Linked DNA regions of Danio rerio. The protein of the gene in region 2 purifies or fractionates together with the protein of the main gene of each other region. This does not show direct contact. Links are inferred from orthologs where the notes say so. Each region holds a gene or a part of one and is shown on either strand. Other genes may lie near its edges.

Region 1 (6,214 bases), on a different chromosome or scaffold from region 2:
CATTTCTCAGCCACACATTATAAAATTGGTTATGTATTTAGTTTTGCTAAAAGTTTTATTGAGATGTATTGCTGGGGATCGGAAGCAAATTGGATCGATTGTCTAGGTTTACTTAAAGGAAAATTAAGACCCATTTAAAATGATTTAAGACGTACAAGAGGATATTTCAGTGAATTTAAGACATTTTAAGACCATGCAAACCCTGTTATTATTTTTCTGTCATTTGTTCGTGCCTGTGCAGGTCAGCACATTATCGATTCTGACCTTTGAGATTCAGAATTGTTAGAGAAAGAATTACGATATGTCCTGTTTATTTAAATCTAGTGGGTTTGGTGTCTTGTCAAAAACCCTATGACTTTATTAACTTGAATTTAAAGCAACATCACATTTAAAGTCACGCTCATGTGTTGACATTCAGGAAATCAGAACTCTTGTTTGTGTGATATTACTTACCTATCAAACATTATAGAAATAATCATTATTAGTTCAATAATATCAAAATTTAAATGACAGGTCATTTTAACTAGCTTTATGCTGTAAATGCTTTTTGAAGATTTGTTATTTTTGTGTTTTTTATTTTTATTTTTTTGCAAAGTGGGTGACATACTGGATAAAGTTAACACACTACAGCTACAACACTAAAGAGAAATATAAATATCACACACACCCCTAGAGGACAACTGCATTATTCAGCACAAGGTCTCAAAATTCTCTCACCCATCCATGTGAATCTGCCAATAGGCCTGTCTGCTGATGTCCACATAGTTGAAATCTCCAGTGTAATATTTGGGGTCTGTTCCTCCCAGTAGCAGCTCACCACCAGGCTGAGTGTCAGGGTTTCTTTCAGACAAATAAAACAACCATCAGGTCTGACTTTCAACTGCATTTAATGGATGCTTACGATAGACTGACATTTGTACATCTGGATGCCCTATATATAAAGAAGGGTACCTGTTAAGATAGAAAGAGAAAACATTTTTCTCCACTTTCTTCTGGCTCATCATCATGTCGAAAACAGGAGGAACCCCATCGACAGCGATGCGAGGATAGGCCATCCCGAGAATACCGTCAAACTTGGCAGCAATGAAGGCCACTCCTGGCTGCTTGATAGCTTCTCCAAATATCTGCTTTTCAACTGCAATATCTCCAATCTAAAAGAGACATAACAGATTGCTTTTTCTTGCTTTCAACACTTCAAGTGTTAAAAACTGTGTGACTGTTGATTCCTACCGTGCAGGTGTCCTGGCTGAGATACCCGGACAAACTTCCTGATCCATACTGGATGGCAAATTGAGTCCCATTCTTCACATAGGTGCTTGATTTGCCCCCATTGTACTTGTGATGAAGCACTACATGGTTAAAATAAAAGATATGCATATAATCAGTCATGTATAGTTTTTTTTTTTTTGTCTTGCTCCAGCCGTACATTCAGCCTTTGTTTAGCCGCTGCCCGCCTAGAATAATTTTCTTCCCGACCATTCCCACTAAATTTAGATCTGTTTTTTAAAACTTCATGTTTAAATTGGGCACTACCAAAAGAGAGAGATAACAGATAAAACCATAGGCTTTGTAAGCTAAATATTAGTTTTGTTTGTCCCTTTGTGATGAGACATGAGTGCCACCTTAAACCTGAGGTTCCAGTCTTGTGACTGCTTAATGGTAAAATTTTGAGGTATTATCACGCAGAGTCATTTTTTTTCCATTTGTGTCTAGGACGCATGAAAAAGACTCCCATACATCAGACTTGCCTAATGTTCTAACAGTAAACTGACCATTTTCTAAGGCAAGCCGAAGGACAGCGCATCTTCATTTTGCACTCCAATGTTGGTAAATCCCACTCTGAAAACTGTTAAGCAGATGACGCATGTACAGACTGTGTGGGAAAAAAAGCACATGCAGAAAGCACTGGTCATGCGTTCAATGTGTAACAGTCGTGAGCACTGGCTGTACTGGAGCTCAATAAGAATGAGAAAAAAAAAACACAGATATGCTATTCTGAAATAACGTCGGGACTCAGGAACACTATATTGTTAGCCTGCCTACTCCCGGTCAAATTACACCGGAGTTACGGACTGCTACCGTGTTTTATTCAGAAATTTATTCCCACACCGCAGGAAATCTGGTGTTGTCGAGAATGCAGACCTCAAGTTGCATTTTTATTGGTTATTAATTTCAGCTATATAAACATGCAAAAAAAAAAAAGGTATAGTACTATATTACATGGAATGAACAGAGACATATTCTTATTTTACACATCAGGGCATTTACCCACATATAAAAAAAAGGCTTTAGAACAGAGATGACAAAAGTTGGCCAATGGTAACCTTTGATTTGGCCCGCAAACCAATTAGAGAAGAGATGGGGAAATAATGGGGAAGGTTGGGGCAAATCCCTTAAACATTTCTAATTTTTACATCTATTTTGTGTTTGTTTAATCGCTGAGCTACAAAAAAGCAAAACTGTGAATTAATCAGATTTTTAACAAGTCAGAAAACGGCCAAAACACAATTAGATAGATATAGATTCATTATGTTATAAATTAAATTGTTTATGACTATTGTAAGTAGTACAATATAAAATCTAAAAACATATAATTATTGTTTTTATATATTTAATACTATTAAATTAGGAAGTTACAACTGCAACTTGATTGCAATACAGTTTGGTATATTTAGTTTGGCCCACCACCCTCAGTGTGTATTTTGGCCTTCCATAAAAAAAAAAAGGGTTAAAAAAATAAAAGAAGTTTTAAAACTGATGGTTATAATTGAATGTTTCAATTACATATGAAGACCACGTACATTTCATGACAATTCATTCATAAAAAAGTGGCATTAAAAAAAAAAACAACTTATAGCATCTAATGTCTTTAAATTAAATGTTGAACATTCATAAAGTAGTGAACTTGATAAAAAAAACACAATTTTACTTGCCTTATGAAACACCCAAACATTCACATCAAGCAAAGTTATCACTAAATCTATGCTACAAAAGGTAAACGCAAGCAGCTATGTTGAAAAGTTGATATGATCTATGACAAGATTACAGAAACATACTTGCAACCATGAAAAAAAAAAGTTGCCACCGACAAACTTGAGCAACACTGTGCCAAACTAAAGTAACTTCTTGTTTCTGAAAGAATTCACTTTAAATGAATAATGTAAAGACATCAGTGACCTGACAGTGCACTGTGCAAAAAGCTGGCAGGCTCTGTGTGGACTTACAGCAGGCGATGTCAGTCAGGGAACAGTGGACTGAAGGTACCCACAGGTTGGAGGATCCAGTGTCAAACACCACAGTGAAGGTCTGGACAGGAGTGCCAAGACCGATCTCGCCATAATACTGAGCCTGTAGACAAAAACCCAATTCATTTAAAATTCACCACCACAACAGACTGCAGGCTACAAAATGTGTTTCACAAAGGTTTACAGTTTCTAGATTCTTAAAAAAACTACTTGTGTCTGCAAATCTTGCTTGTGACACTGGTTTTGCTGTGAAACAAATTTTCAGACAGGTTTATATTTATTTTTTTAGACAGCACAACACATTTCCAATTATTTTTTTTCACAACAGTTAGGGATAGTTCACCCAAAACAGAAATTCTGTCATCATTTATTCACACTTGACCTGTCACAAACCTGTTTGAACACAAAAGAAGTTTTTTAACTTAAGGCTATTTCATGACAAAATGGATATAAAAAATATTACATGATAAAAACAAATTTAAATTACAATAAAAAGTTACTTAGACAAATATATACGGTAGAAATAAAAAAATGACACAAAAATATATTCAAAGTTAAAAATGATTTTTTCAGTAAAATTTTTGATAAATAAGTTAAGGTTCTTCTTGGTGGTACCTTTTTAAAAATGTCCATTAAAGTACTCTCCATATAAAAGTTGTCTAATGCTATTCAAACTTCCACATAGGCAGTAACTACATTCAGGTGGTGCTTCATTATTCAGTAAATAAAAATGAGTCAACCAAGAATGTCCAATTTAAGATCTAGTATAGACAGTTTGTTCATGTCTGGTATTCTTTAACCTATCTTGGAGGCTCTATCTACTGGACATTATTAGTTTGGAATACACCACAGCCAAAATAAATGGTGCCAGTAAGAAAACTGTACAGTTTTGGTTAAATATGAGACTGTATCAGACCTGATTTGTACCTAATATTGCAGTATTACTGTTTTTATTTTATTTTACTTCACTTTTTATTGAGTGGATCTCGGGCTTCGTTCAAAATTAAATGTTCGCTAAAAAAAATACTTAAGATTTTGGGTTTAGGGTAGGGCTATATGATAAGCGTTCTTTATCTGTAAAAAAAAAAAAACATAAGGCCTATGGAGTCCATGATGTAATGTATTTTTTATTTAATGCCATGTCAACAACCAATGCTATTTTCATGGCAAGAACATTTCAATAATAAATATACAATTAAAAACAACAAACTAATGAATACATCAATTAAATAAGATTTCTAGTGTTAAAACGTGATAAAGTTCTAAAATTTTTCCTGGTGTTATGAAGTCCATGAACACCATGTATTCAAGTTTTTATGCGTGTGTGTGAGATGAATACTGATGACCTATGAAAGACTTTTTAGCAGGAAAGCATTTACAAAGAAATGATTATAGCACATAACATATATTACCCATTCGTCATGCAAAACAAATGTAATCTTTATCCACTAAGAACTTCAACCACCTAAGCCTGTTTACAAAACTACAACTGGTAATAATATCAGCTGCTTGTTTCCAAATCGGATTGTTATAGAAACCTGTGACAAAGGCATTGACAAACAACCTCATGACTGTAACAAATCACACCACACACTATCATGATATCCATTTTATGAACATGACAGGAAACTGACAAGAATATTTTTTGGCTGAATACCGATGACAGAATAGGTTTCGGGTTCACTTTTTTCTCCCTCAACCGTAAATCACGTTCCACCATGTCGACACTTAATAATCATGTGACATGACTGAGCAAAACAACTGTGTGTTAAACTATAACTGACTGTCCTCATTCTTGCAACTTCCTGAATCTATAACTTTGTGCTAATAAAAAGTGCACAGACGTTCATTTGTCTCTGACGTCAAATTTACTGATTTACCATAATGCCGTGCTCAAATTAGAGACAATCTGTCTCTAATTTTCTTTAAATATATAAATAAATAATAATAGAAAATAATAAATAAATTATAAACAATAATAAACAAACAATAATAAATAAAGCAATAAATAAACAAATAAAAAAAATTTTGACTGAAGAAATTTAATTAACTTCTTGGATGACAAAAGGCTGAGTAAATAAATAATCAGGAAACTTTCATTCTGGAATTAACTAATTATTAAAAACAAATGTGAGCATGAAAATGCACAAAAACCCCAATCCACCCACACAAGACATGATGTCAGCAAGCAGATACTCACATCTAGGTAGTTTTTGAGTGTTTCTGGAGTAGGATCATTACTAGCTGGGAAGCCCAGGTTGTATTTCAGGGAATTAGAACTAGACACAAGCTCCTCTAATGATCTGCCAGAGTCACTTAGTGTTCGTCTGAGGGTTCGAAACTTCTTTAGTGGTATCCTGAAGAGAAACACACAGAAACATTAGCTTTCACGGTTTTCTTTTAGTCATATCTACAGCCCCTGCTGCAAATGACAACATTCTGATGCTAAAAACAAGCATGTCTAGGGTCCATTTTACACAATTCACATATCATCATGAACTCAAATTAGATTTTGTTCGTCAGGCTTGATTTACTACCACATTTATGGCAAGATGTAGTAAAAGCTGTTGTGTTATGAACTTTGAAAGGGCGGTGAGTCAAACTAAACCTCAGTATGTGGGTCAAGACATTAAACTCTAAAGTAAAAATAAAAAGTTCTTCCGCCATTATTTAAAATCCCATGGTGAACAGTTATAGATATTTTGCTTTATTACGGTACTTAAGAAAAAAGCCTTTTTAAAACTTTATTGGAGTATTTCTTGGGAAACTTTTAACGTCATTTAGGGCTGGGCCGATCAACAATACTATATTGAATCACGATAAAATTTATGTCAATAGCAATGATAACCTCTGGACTTTTTTACTTTATATTGATTTAAGAGCAATCACACAGAAGAAATGTGCAACAATGGGAATCCAAAAGTGTGTTGATATTAATGATGTACCAAATTTTCAACCAACATTTAATG
Region 2 (6,946 bases):
AGTAACATGGTAATACAAATAATATTACTAACGTTACAGACTTAGAGGCATGCAAACAATTTCACCCCCAAAAACGAGTAAAAGTTCCTTTGAACTCTAAGAACCCTAAACATTTATGTCCATAATATTTCAGATGTAAAACTGTTTACCTGGTATGACGGGCAGCATATTGAACAGCTGAGCACTATGAACTTTCATTTGCATAGTCTGCTTGTCAAGAACTCCCACAAAATACCTGTTGACAACATTTACACACCATTATTGAGAGGTTATTTAAGTGTTGCTCAGCAAATAAATAACAACGTGATGACCTCACTTGCACATATTATTAGACTGCAGCGATCCAGACCCAAAATTGCTCCCTACATAGGGAAGCCTATCTGAATCTGCAACCTGCATAGAAAAGATAAAGTTAGTTCCTAAAAGCACAAACAACACAATTGCTTCAATTTAGACTTTTTAAAGTTATAAAACAAACGCAGTTTCAGTAGGTATAAGTGTTTTACCACTATTCGTCTGTTTTTCTTTCTGGGATTTGATGCATTTGAGTGTTTGAAGACAGTAAAGTCCAGCTCCTCGGCATTTTTCACATTTCCATTAGAGAACTTAACTGTAATGACAAGAATAATGCTTTAAAATACAATGCGTGACAGTTTTAAAAACTATACTGTTAGACTGAGTGTACATTGTTTATTATTTGGTCGAGATGACCATATCCACGTGGGTGCGTTAAATACATAGAGGAAGAATAAGATTAGTTTATTACAGCTAACAAATAACAGCAATTATATATTATGTTACATTTATGATACTCTGGGTATTAAAACATTACCAATAAAAGTATTCTGTTCCGTTTCTTCACATGTTTTCCACGAACAGGTCGCCGCCATTATTACGGTTTCCTCGGCTGATATTAGCACGCGTTCCTGCACGAACAGCGACACCAATCGGTTTAAACAGTTTAAACAGAAACTTCCATTCAATTGTTCTGATATGATATTAATTGAATTTGCACAACTATTTTTAAAATTGAATAAATATGGATTAAAAGCCTTTCAAAATGTATTGTAAAAGCTTTTGAAAGTAGTCTATTTTGTTCTCCAAGGCTGAATTTGGTCTAAAATGCAAAATAAATGACAAAATAAATAAATAAAGGCCTAAACTGATGTTTAAACTGAAATAAATAAAAATAAAGTGAAGGAAATTTATTTTAAACTGATGATGGCAAATAAGTATTCTTAATTCTACAAGCTTTTTATATTGAATTTCATGTTAGGACTGAGCAATAAAACTATAATATTCATACACTAGTTTAGATTATGTCCAGAATAAGGTTTATGCTTGTAGACATGACTAAGTAATGCTGATTATTTACACCACACAGACAGTTTGTGCCCAACAGCACAAGTTTCTATGATTTATTTTACAATCAGATCAGACAGCACTGACATTCAATTTTATTAATGCAATGTCTGAGGCTCCTTCACCATGTTTTGCAGAGGGATCCTAAAAATAATCAACTCTGGTGTTTCTCAAATTTCTCTGAAACTACAGTTTCAACATAAAGATTTTAACATTTTATTGTAACTGCACTGTAAAACCCAATCATTTTGATAAACCCAATAAACCCAAAAAACTCTTTTGTGGCAAACCATTAAAGTTTTTAAACAAAATGTTGAGAGTACATTTTCTATTCGACTCAGTCCCTTTTTTAATCTGAGGTCAACACAGCAGAATGAACCGCCAACTTATCCAGCATATGTTTTACGCAGCAGATCCCCTTCCCGCTGCAACCCATCTCTAGGTCTCTCTCATACACTATGGACAATTTAGCCTACCCAATTCACCTGTACCGCATGTCTTAGGACTGTGGGGAAAACCACACGAACACAGGGAGAACATGCAAACTCCACACAGAAACGCCAACTAACCCAGCTGAGGCTCGAACCAGTACCCTTCTTGCTGTGAGGCGACAGCACTACCTACTGCGCCACTGCATCACGTCCGACAAATAAATATAGTTTATTTAAACCAAGACAAATCTATTTTCTAGCGTTTTGGAAAAGAAAAGAAGGCAGGAAATACACATGACAGCTTTGTAACATAATATTCATGAGGCACGCTTCCGTGACCGCCTACTAAATCTAACTCTGACCCAATCACGCAATACTAAAGTAAGATTGACATGTGACGTAATTAATATTCATGAGTGAAGCATTTCTTCTACCAGGATTGGTAACGTTAGTATCGCCACCCGGAAGTTCAATTTCGAAATGTTTCTTAGAGCATTTTCACGAAAAATTTGATTTTTGGGCTTAATATGTTATGACCGGCCATGGTAATGGAGTCTGGGCGCACATCGGCATACGGCGTGCGTATAAATATTCTGTTTGTTCATTCTGATGTGTTTCTATGTGTAGCAAAAAACGTGTAACGTCAGGAAAATAGTCACGAGTACAGCTATATTTATCTTATGACAGACAATAGCGTTGAGGTGAATGATTTATTCCTTTATTTACCTGTATGCTTGTGCTGCTACGGTGTTTGTTGCTCTTTATATTTTTGTGCGCGTATGTTGTTGGCTAGTTTTAGAAAAAATACTCTAACTTATGTGCTTTATTATCAGTTAAATCTTCTTTTAGTGGCTCTGGTCTATTTGTAATTAGGCTGCTGTCCGAGTAACGGTAACCAAGTGTTCCGATAATGGCGCAATTGACCAGATCGTTTAGCCAGTGACATTAGTCTTTTACAAATTTCTTGTGGAATAGAAAGCCATTGTTGGGCTGTAATAGAGTTTGTGCATTAGCACTTTGAAATGTATAGCTTCAAAGTAACATTTGATGCCCGTTAAGTAGCTTTCAGCTATTTGTTGTAGTTGCTTTGACTATTACAATGCCCATTTTAAACTAATCTTTGTCTTGTTTTTGTGGCTTAGAATAACACCAATGTAGATTTTACACAAAGCACTGATGATGACCCTCTCATTGATGGACCACTCGTATCCCAAGATGCACTTGAGTCGGCAATCAAGAGAGAGTTTCAGACATTAAGCACTCACTGGGCAGTGGGTGTCCTTTCATTTTTACACGTAAGTGTAGAACCAAGAAATTGCACAAGTATACAGTACTGGTTACAAGTTTGGAAACATTAAGATTGGTTAATGTCTTTAAAAGTAGTTAATGCTTATCAAAATGTATTTTAAATCATTGAAATATTTAAAAAATGTGTTATGCTGTTACATAAGTATTATATAGTTTTTGAAACATCTGTGTGTTAATGTAAAATGTAGTTTATTCCTGTAGTTAAAGCAACATTTTTAGCAGTAATTCTAGTTTTCAGGGTCACATGATCTTTCAGAAAACATAATTTTTTCTCCAGAAAAATGTATTAATTTTTTGCAGCTTTTTCCCTTTATTAATCTGGGGTTGCCACAGCAGAATGAACTGACAGCTTATCCAGCATATGTTTTATGCAGCGGATGCCCTTCCAGCTGCAACCCATCACTGGGAAACACCGACACACTCTCTTACACACATACACCACAGACAATTTAGCTTACCCAAATCACCTATAGCGCATGTCTTTGGACTGGGGGAGAAACCGGAGCACCCGGAGAAACCCACGCCAACAAGAGGAGAACATGCAAACTCCACACAGAAATGCCAACTGACTTAGCTGAGGCTTAAACCAGCAACCCTCTTACAGTTAGGCGATGGTGCTACCCATTGCGCCACTGCGCCGCCTCCAGAAACATTTCTGATTATTATTGCTGCTTAATATTTATTTAGATCTGTGATGTGTAACCATCGGGATTTTTTAAATCAACGACCAAATAAATTGTTTAAAGATGGCTTTAAAACAATTATAATCTTACAAAAGCTTTACTTTTAAATAAATCCTGTTATTTTGAAGTTTATATTAATCAAAAAATCCTGAAAAGTAATTTGTCGCACAAAAAATACCATGCAGATGTTTTTATGGAAACTGTGATGAAACTGAAAAGTACCAGTAATAAATAATTAAAATAGTGCAGCACATCAACATATAGTAATATATTATTATAGATATTATAAAAATTGTAAATACATAAATATTTCGGCACTAAAAGCTCGAGTAATGTGGCTAGAAATTTAGCTTTAAATAATAAGAATACATATTTTTTAATTCCCATTTTAATTTATTAACACAGAGAAACATTTTATTTTTAAATTGTAAAAATATTGCACCATTCAATAACTTTCTTTTCAGCTTTTCCGAAAATTAATCAGTCTCTTTATTAATCAGGGGTCACCACAGCAGTATGAATCACTAACATATCCAGGATATGTTTAACACAGCAGATGCCCTTTTAGCTGCAACCCAGTACTGGGAAACATCCATACACACTCATACACTATGGCCAATTTAGTGTATTCAATTCGCCTATACCGCATGTCTTTGACAGACCCATGCGAACACGAGGAGAACATGCAAACTCCACACAGAAATGCTAACTAGCCCAGCCGGGGGTCAAACCAGCTGGCTGTGATACGACAGCACTGCACCACAATGCGGCCCAATATTTCATCAATATTTGATTTAACTAAGTGCAGGTTGGTGAGCAGGAGAGCTTTGAAAACCAAAAAAATCCAATTTTTAATATTTAATATACACTATTATACTAAGAGTATAAATATGTTTTACTCCCCTTTGTGTTCCAGAGATGACATATTTTTATTTCTGTGCATCCTGACAGTATTTTTAAAGAACACCTTGTTAAATGTGTTTCTGTCATTTCTCTGTTTCTTCTACAGGTGGTTTATGTGGTGGTGTGTATCGTAATTACAGTATTTTGCTGGATATCTGATGAACACACATCTGAGTGCACTGCAGCATTAAATGGGATAGACTCCAAAACCGTGGTGTTACTGGGAAAAGTTGCTCTCTGGGTGGTCGTCTTTATATACGATCGTGTTGTCCAGCGTCGCCACAGCGCAGTGAGACGGAAAGGTTATCTGGACTTTTACAGGATGACCAAAGGAATTAAAAGCCTTCCTCTACTCATTCACTCTGCAGGTGAAACATAATTTCTTCTCTTTATCTGTCACTTTAGAAACTGAATTAATCTCTGTGGATCACATGAGGTGATTGAAGTATGCTGTCAATTTTCCGTGTAGCACTGTAATGTTTTACAACTCGCAATCACCTCACAACAAGAAGGTCACTGGTTCGAGCCTCGGCTGGGTCAGTTTACATTTCTGTGTGGAGTTTGCATGTTCTCCTATTGTTCACGTGGGTTTCCTTCACGTGGTCTGGTTTCCCCCACAAGTCCAAAGACATGCGCTAAAGGTGAATTGGGTAAGCTAAATTGTCTAGTGCAGGGGTCACCAATCTCGGTCCTGAAGGGCCGGTGTCCCTGCAGGTTTTAGCTCCAACTTGCCTCAACACACCTGCCTTGGTGTTTCAAGTATACCTTGTAAAACCTTAATTAGCTTGTTCAGGTGTTTTTGATTAGGGTTGGAGCTAATATCTGCAGGACACCGGCCCTCCAGGAACAAGTTTGGTGACCACTGGTCTAGTGTATGTGTGTGAATGAGTGTGTATGGATGTTTCCCAGTGATGGGTTGCAGCTGGAAGGGCATCCGCTGCGTAAAACATGCTGGATAAGTTGGCAGTTCATTCCGCTTTGGCGACCTCAGATTAATAAAGGGACTGAGCCGAAAAGAAAATGAATGAATGAATGAATGTTTTACAACTGACCGCTAGATGGCAGTGCTTAAGCTATCATTAGGACTGTAAATAAGCTGTGGAAAAAATTGAGACCAGTTGAAAAAGTGTCGGTTTTTCTGGAATTGCTTGATTTACTTGGTATTATTGGATTAAAATATTGATATTTGTTTTATTCTCTGAAGCTCTGATAACATTTCTTCCATTTGTATAGAACCAATTTATAATAAAGTATAATACTGAGATTTGAGGCAACTTTTGTTTAGAGAAACTGAGAATTTTCAAGTTGTTTAAGTTTTTTTTAACGCTTGTGTACACCAAATATGGAATTTATCAATTGATAATGAACCATGTTAATTTATTATTTTAAATACAATTCATGTTCCTCAACTATTACTAAATCCATTCCTAATACTAAGTCCTTGTAATATTTTATTTATTTTATGCAATATTTCAAAATATGGCAACGTTTACACTACCTTTTTAGGCCAGTCAGTTTTTTTATTCATTTAGTTTTTATTTTACATGATGTTAATGCAATAAATTAATGCAATAAATTGATCAGAAGTGACAGTAATGACATTTTAATAACATTTTAAGTTAAAAACAATGACTATCACTTCTAACTTCATTCAGTTTGTCAGTGCTGAATAAAATGGCTGCTAAAATACAGAAATAAATTACATTTTAAAATGGTCTTCAAATAAAAAATACCATGTTATTTGAAATGTTTATTATAATATTTAAAAGCATTGCTATTAGTTTAATGTGTTTTACTTTAATAATGTGACAGCAATGATAACATTTTATGTACACAAATGTTTATGAATGGTAATGTGTGTGGGTTTTGGGCAGAAACTGTAAACCAAAATAAAAAAAAAAAACCCATACAGACTTAGGCTGAACTGTAATAAATAAGTGTTATCAGTTAAAATCAAGTAATTAATGCTTGCTTTTTTGATGCAGAAGTTTGTTACTGATTTAATGCACAATTGCTTTATTTTTCTCTATTACAAAGGAAATGCAGCAATCCTGACTGTAATTGCTCCATCCTCACTGTTGGATGCAAATGTGAAGAATCTGTCTGTGTATCTTCTGTTGGCCATCATCTGTTTGGAGCTTCTGCTGACAATCATATGCTTGCTAAGATATACAGGTACTACTCACTCACTCACTCACACATGCGCACACACACGCACACACACGATTTGTTCATGGTTCAATCTGAATCATATTTATG
Region 3 (6,651 bases), on a different chromosome or scaffold from region 2:
ATTTTTTTCTAACTGATTTTATTCCAGCCACACACTTTTAGACTTTCCCCAGAAGAAAAAAAAAAAAAAGAAACACTGTAAAACTTTCCCTGGTCTGTTAAACATCACTTGGGAAACATAAAAAAATTCACATTTCACAGGAGGGCTAATAATTATGACTTCAACTGTATGTCATGTTTGGATTCTGGGCGACAGATTGAAAGAGCAGTCTATCATGCCAAATTTACAAAGCAAAGTTGACATAGAAGCACTTCTGAGGTGGCATTAAGGTGTCTTTCACAGAACACTTAACGCTGCACAGAGGTGCTATAAATGCTTTTACACAACAATTACAACCATATGCTTTGACATTAGGGCTACGAGTCAACCTAGACATATTTTAAGCAGCCTTTCAAGAGTTCACACTCAGATATTGTTTGACAAATGTTAGCAGGTTTGGCATGCTGTCCCCGGAGCGAACACTGTGCTCGGAGATAGTTGAGCACAGGGGTAACGCCTGGTCCATAGAGCATGTGAGGGGAGTACGAGATCAGCTTGTTCTCGAGAGCTCCCCATGGTAAAGGAGGAAAGGAGGAGAATGGGTGGATGGGGGATTTCTTTGGAAAACGAAGATAAGGGAGTAGTTCTAGCTAGGCTACTGATATTTTGAATTAATCTGATTGGCTAACTAATGAATGTAGATGGGAGGCCAGCTGCAGTCAATCATATCACTGCTCCTAGCGAAATTAGTTTGTGAAACTACACTTATTCACATTATTTTGATCAGGCACAAAGTGGCCTTTTTAATTGCGCACCAAGAGGTCAAAAATGGAAGAAAAAGAAAACATTTGCACAGATGAAACATTTATGAATATGCATCATGCATACATCTGATAAATTCTGCATAATACTCCCCCAAAAGCATGAAACAAAAACAAAGAGGGTATGGAATGTGTGTTTGTGTATACCTGAGAGAGCTGTCCAAAACCCTGAGGCCAGTCACTCTCCTTGTATGGATCATTTGGATAGGCCTTAATCGGAGATCTGTCACCATGTCGGTAGAGCTGAGGGAGAGGAAGTCAAATTCTTCATGAGTGTGTGTGTTCAGGATAATGAACTACACTGTGCAACAGTGGCTAGATCAGCAAACTGAGCTTGTCATGTGCTCATGCTGACACCCGGACACAAGCCACAGAAGTCTGTAAACACATTCTAATTGGATAAACAGATTCAGTCTATCTCCTTATCTTCATCTCTGGGCTTCACAGAAACCAGCCACGTTTAGAAAGTTTCAGCTCTGAGAGACGGTTACTGCATTATCAGTCTCATGAAGGTTTACAGTGAACACTTTCATTTATAACCATGTTATTCAATCGTGCTTAAAATGACAAGCTCTGGTTTAAACTTCCTCATTTGCAAGGAATCGTGATTAACCAGAACACACTTTAAATGAAACACTATTAAACAGTAGCCAAGTTTCAGTATCTAACATGACTATACTCAAAATGAAAGGACAGTTGAGGTTTTTGTCTGGTAAAGCAGGAATATGAGAAACTAATTACAACAATATACAGGTAAAACATTCACATCTCAAATACAACAGTATAACAACAAAAGTAGATTAAACACATGGAATTATTAAAACAAACAAGATTAATTAACATATATTTAAATTAGGGCTGCAGAATATATTGCTTCAAAAGCAATGGGGCAATGTGATCATTCACAATAATGACATTGCGAGTATACACAATGCTGAGTTTGGATTATAATTGATCATTATAAAAGTGTTTTTGAGGCTTGTGACTGTGTGAGGATTTTAAAAGCATTCGGGCATAAGAAATTGTACCATTTGTAACTTCGAAAAATCAATAATGATTTTTTTTTTTAATTGTTTATAAAACAAAGACTACCCAGTATTTTTTACATTTGATTATTCAATTACTGTATACCTGAATACTGTTTGACTTCTCGGAAAACAATAAAAGCTGTTTATTTAATTGGTATCTTTTTCTTAAATAAATTCATGTATGCTTATAGATTGTTTGTTATATTTTAGGCAAATGCACTCCCCTACAGAATCATACCAATCAATCTAAAATGATAAAATCTTACTAAAAAGTTATGATGAAATCGTTTTCATTCAATCATTTTCTTGTCGGCTTAGTCCCTTTATTAATCCGGGGTCGCCACAGCGGAATGAACCACCAACTTATCCAGCACATTTTTTATGTAGCGGATGCCCTTTTAGCTGCAACCCATCTCTGGGAAACATCCACACACACACACACGCACGCACGCGCGCACACACACACACACACACACACACACACACACACACACACACACACACATACACACAATCACACACACACACACACACACACACACACACACACACACACACCCGACAATTTAGCCTACCCAATTCACCTGAACTGCATGTCTTTGGACTGTAGGGAAAACCGGAGCACCCGGAGGAAACCCACACAAACGCAAAGAGAACATGCAAACTCCTCACAGAAACACCAACTGACCGAGGCTCGAATCAGCGATCCAGCGACCTTCTTGCTATGAGGCAACAGCGCTACCTACTGCGCCACTGCGTGGCCGAAATCGAATTCATAACACAATATATATTGCACACTAAAAAATTTTTTGATTTTTCCAATATCGTGCATATTGTGCTATATAACGTGCTGAGAATGGACTGAGAGATAAAGGTGAAAGAGATTTAAATGTTCATTGAAGTAAGTTTCACATGAAAATAGTTTAGTATTTCTACTTTAATAATTCCTCATTTAATTCAATTTGTTGCTTGCTGTTTCTTTGAGAACAGCAAAAATCATATCAAAGTAACTTTATTTTAAATTTAAAAACTAAGGAAAATTTCATTAAAAACTTGAATTGTAAATTATTAAATTGTTATGGATGTGACATTTTCAGTAAAAACCTAAAACATAAATGCACAGAAAGTATATGTTAAGATTATATTGAAACATCGGTTTATATTTTCCAAAGTAACTCACCACAGAGTTATGGGATCAGAAAAAATAATAATCTGCTAACATGTGTTATATTTTAAATGAGTAAAAATAAACATGTGTTATGGATGTGACCAAAAAGTCTGCGAGTTTACAGTATTCAACATATTTTGTAGAAATTCTGTGACTCAAACTGCACAACCCCAAAGAAACAATGATAATCAATAAAATGAGAGTTGGCTCACTATAGAACAGAAAAGATTGGCTGTATTTTATTTAACATTTTTGCATTTTGAGGAAAAAGCTCCATTATGGATGCGACACCTCTCTGTTATGGATGTGACAGATGTGAAATTGACACATTTGTGACTTTGGTAATCAAATAGAATGGCTTGAAAACACTGACAGATACGTTTTTGAGTATTTTTAGAGTACAGTAAAATACAAGCCTAAGCAAAAAAATAAAAAATAAAAAATCTAGAAAGGGTTTCGCTATTTTCGTGAAACATGGTTGACATTTGCATGGAATTGCTCCATAAATTACCTTGCAGACACTTTTTCTATCTTTATCCATTAACGTTACAAATGGATTCAGTACAAGTTAGCCCTTGGTTTACCAATTCGTTCATATGACAGACATTCTGTAATAGGCTTGCAGTTGCATTACTAATTTCAGAGATCTTTCTCACCTAAAAGCCAAGCAATAATGTTACCCTTACTAAAAAAAATAGGTGACATTTAACCTACAAAGGTGTTTTATTGCTTTGACGAAAATGGGAGGTGAAATGAAGCAAAACAACATGTCATGTGACGGTCTGCTCTTCAGATTGCTCAATCTGTACTTTAATGAGGAATTAATAAAGATCAAGTCGAAAACTACATTTTACCGAAATTACAGAAAATGCGAAAATCTGTAGAAAGCAAAACATTCGAGAGAGAAACACGAATTTAGACATCAACTAACAGGTAATTACAGAAAGGCACACAGCTGAATAACAGAAATATGACACCCCTAAAGAAACACACGAGGCACATAATAAAAGGTCTGACTGAGACTTCGCGTTGTCAATGTTTTTAAAACGAAAGGTTTTGTAAATAGCTTCAGGCCCCGGTTATTCAGTTACTGTCTGTTACATACTTAACGTTTGTTTTTTTAAAGGACAGATGTATTATTAAACTCACCACAGTGACAAACTTTAGCGTCCTCTCTCCACTGGAAAGACTGAAAGCAAAGAGAAAGGCAACAATCACAAAACAGGAATCCATACTTGCGGACGAGCGGATGAGGCACAGTACAGTAACCTCATTGAAAGATCGTTGCCTGGCTGTCGTGGCTGATAAACACAAGACGAGCTGCAAGCTTTTCCGGGTAACGGAGAGCTGCCATTGGTCAATGTGTTCAGCAGCTTCAAAAACACGAGCAGTGATTGGCTCTCACGAACGGAGAAGGACTTGGAGCAAAACAGCAAACAATAGTTGATTGTTTTCTCTTTGTTTAAGGTGCATGACTTCTCCGTCATTTGAAAAAAAAATTCTGAATGAAAATCCCCTCTTTTGTTATTCAATTGGTATATATGTTTGACTTAGTTTATGTGTAATCTAACATTTAGCAAGACTGAATATGTGAATAAAAATTATTTGATCACTTAACTGCCCATGATCAAATATAAATATAGGACAACGGAATGTGAATGTAAATATAACTTGGCTGTTTAGCACAAGATTTCATCTTGACTGGTTCATCTGTGTTTTTTTTTTTGACAGATCAACCTGATTGGCTGGCTCATGAACGATGTTTTCGGTAATTGATTATGAAGGATCTGTGCTCTACTGGCTTTGTCTGGACTCGTTTTGGCAGGACACACACAGCAACAAATCTAAAGTACACACGACCCACTTTTGGGGGAAAATAAAAACATTACAAAAATATTCCTTAAAGAAAATCTGAAATATTGCTAAAGTTTCACCTAACGTACTTCCGCTACTACATATCTACAATTTCATGGATTAAAATCGGACAAAAATAAGAGGAAAAGGTAGGCCGAACCTGAGACCATGAGAGGTGTTGTTTTAAATTTATACTGAACAAAAGACTCCTAATTTAAACACTATGTAATTGTGTGGATTGATACTTTGCCTCGCATGTAAATTAGCTTGCTAACTGCTAAATGTTAAAGCTGTAAAGTTAATTTCTTTATTAAAAAGTAATTATTGTAATTTAACGTTAACGTTATAACCTTCACTAGTTGCTTTATTCTGTGACAATGAATTTACTGTAATGAGTGACACTCCTTTTATTGCAGGTTAAACTTAACTTATATATGTCTAACGTTAGCTGGAGTCAAACATGAGCTATCTTTGACCTGACGTGCTATAGTGTCACAAAACGTGTAAAGCTTTTCCACGTGTTTTAACCCTGTTATTTTGGTAATTGCATTCCTGTAAATAATAACTACGTATTTATAGTAGTCTTTGCATTTTTGATAGTTAAACTATGCATTGTTTACCCATGTAATAGTTTTTGTTTGTTTTATTTTTTAATTTATTAATTTTTATTTACTGCTTAATTCTTTATTAGTAGAACTGAAATGGAAATATGGTTAGCTTTTATTGTAGTTAGACTCGTCATTGTGTATTGTGTATTAGGTATTGAGGTCTCTGTTCAGTTAGATTGTTGTGTGAATATCTTTTAATGTTGTTACTATTTCAATTTTTTAAGTAAAGCATACACTTTAAAAGTATGATTGTGTTCAGTATTATGTTGTTTGAAGAAAAATACACAGTGTTCATTAACTAGAATTAAAAGTAAATTTCAAATGTATTCAATGTTACTTTTGCATAGCTAAAAAATAACAAAAAATAAATTACCATAGTTAACTTGACATACTTTAAGTTGACTTAAAGCCTGTGTGGAAAACCTTATGAAAGAAAAAGTAAACTTTTTGTTTAATTTATGTTTAATTAATGATTTTTTTCTCTGTCAAGGTGTTGGCTATGAAAGATGAAACCTTTATTTTTTTTAAATCTATAAATTAATAAATAAATACACAAATATATAATAAACGAGTAAATGTATATAAAAATCCACAAATTCCTGCATAACTCAATCAGGCAGGTACAAAATTTAATAAATTACACGAATGTTACGGGAATAAGAAAATGGTAAACTGAAAGCTCCACCCCCCGCCCCCTCCCAAATGTTTATTCATTCTTGATTGTAGTTATGTATTTACCTTTCCTCAGTAAACATGCTAATGAGACTGGTTCTGTCAATCATCAGAAAGTGGTCTTCATGCCATTATTGGTTGATCGTTAGAAAACATTTGCTTTTCATTAAAAAAAAAAAAAACTATAATTTTTTTTTACTGGCTTCTGATGATTGACTGCTCTATTAATTATTTATACATTTATTTATGCAGAAAGTTTATATATATACACATTTTTTTTGCTTATTTATTGTTTTATTTATGCATGAATTTATGGATTTATTTACTCATTTATTTGCGTATTTATTTATTGTTTTTGCGTCCTCCATAGTTGACTAATTCATCATAAGACAGGGTTTATACAGTCATGGAAAACCTGGAAAAGTCATGGAATTTTGACATGGCATTTTCCAGGCTTGGAAAAGTTATGAAGATTAGTTTAACAAATATCAGTATACTTAAATTAGGGCTGCGCGATATTG

The links.
Region 1: the proteins of tmem192 (region 2) and ctsd purify together in Homo sapiens (affinity purification with western blotting; 3 studies listed by BioGRID, with this or other methods). This does not show direct contact. The link is inferred for Danio rerio from reciprocal best matches to the Homo sapiens genes TMEM192 and CTSD.
Region 3: the proteins of tmem192 (region 2) and acp2 purify together in Homo sapiens (affinity purification with mass spectrometry; 3 studies listed by BioGRID and IntAct, with this or other methods). This does not show direct contact. The link is inferred for Danio rerio from reciprocal best matches to the Homo sapiens genes TMEM192 and ACP2.

Annotation. Positions count from the first base shown.
Region 1 is NC_133193.1:17,515,738-17,521,951, reverse strand, and holds part of ctsd (cathepsin D precursor), read right to left. Parts: intron 5,603-6,214; coding exon 5,446-5,602; intron 3,349-5,445; coding exon 3,225-3,348; intron 1,350-3,224; coding exon 1,231-1,349; intron 1,152-1,230; coding exon 952-1,151; intron 841-951; coding exon 718-840; intron 1-717. UniProt on the Homo sapiens protein: Acid protease active in intracellular protein breakdown. Plays a role in APP processing following cleavage and activation by ADAM30 which leads to APP degradation.
Region 2 is NC_133176.1:21,149,595-21,156,540, forward strand, and holds the start of tmem192 (transmembrane protein 192), read left to right. Parts: upstream 1-2,243; 5' UTR 2,244-2,335; coding exon of another isoform or gene 2,336-2,371; 5' UTR 2,372-2,473; coding exon 2,474-2,494; intron 2,495-2,935; coding exon 2,936-3,088; intron 3,089-4,793; coding exon 4,794-5,055; intron 5,056-6,724; coding exon 6,725-6,862; intron 6,863-6,946. Other genes in the region: polr1e (DNA-directed RNA polymerase I subunit RPA49), read right to left, coding at 150-235, 317-393, 507-610, 833-890.
Region 3 is NC_133182.1:39,575,512-39,582,162, reverse strand, and holds the start of acp2 (lysosomal acid phosphatase precursor), read right to left. Parts: upstream 4,341-6,651; 5' UTR 4,230-4,340; coding exon 4,146-4,229; intron 1,044-4,145; coding exon 948-1,043; exon of another isoform or gene 843-947; intron 779-842; exon of another isoform or gene 1-778.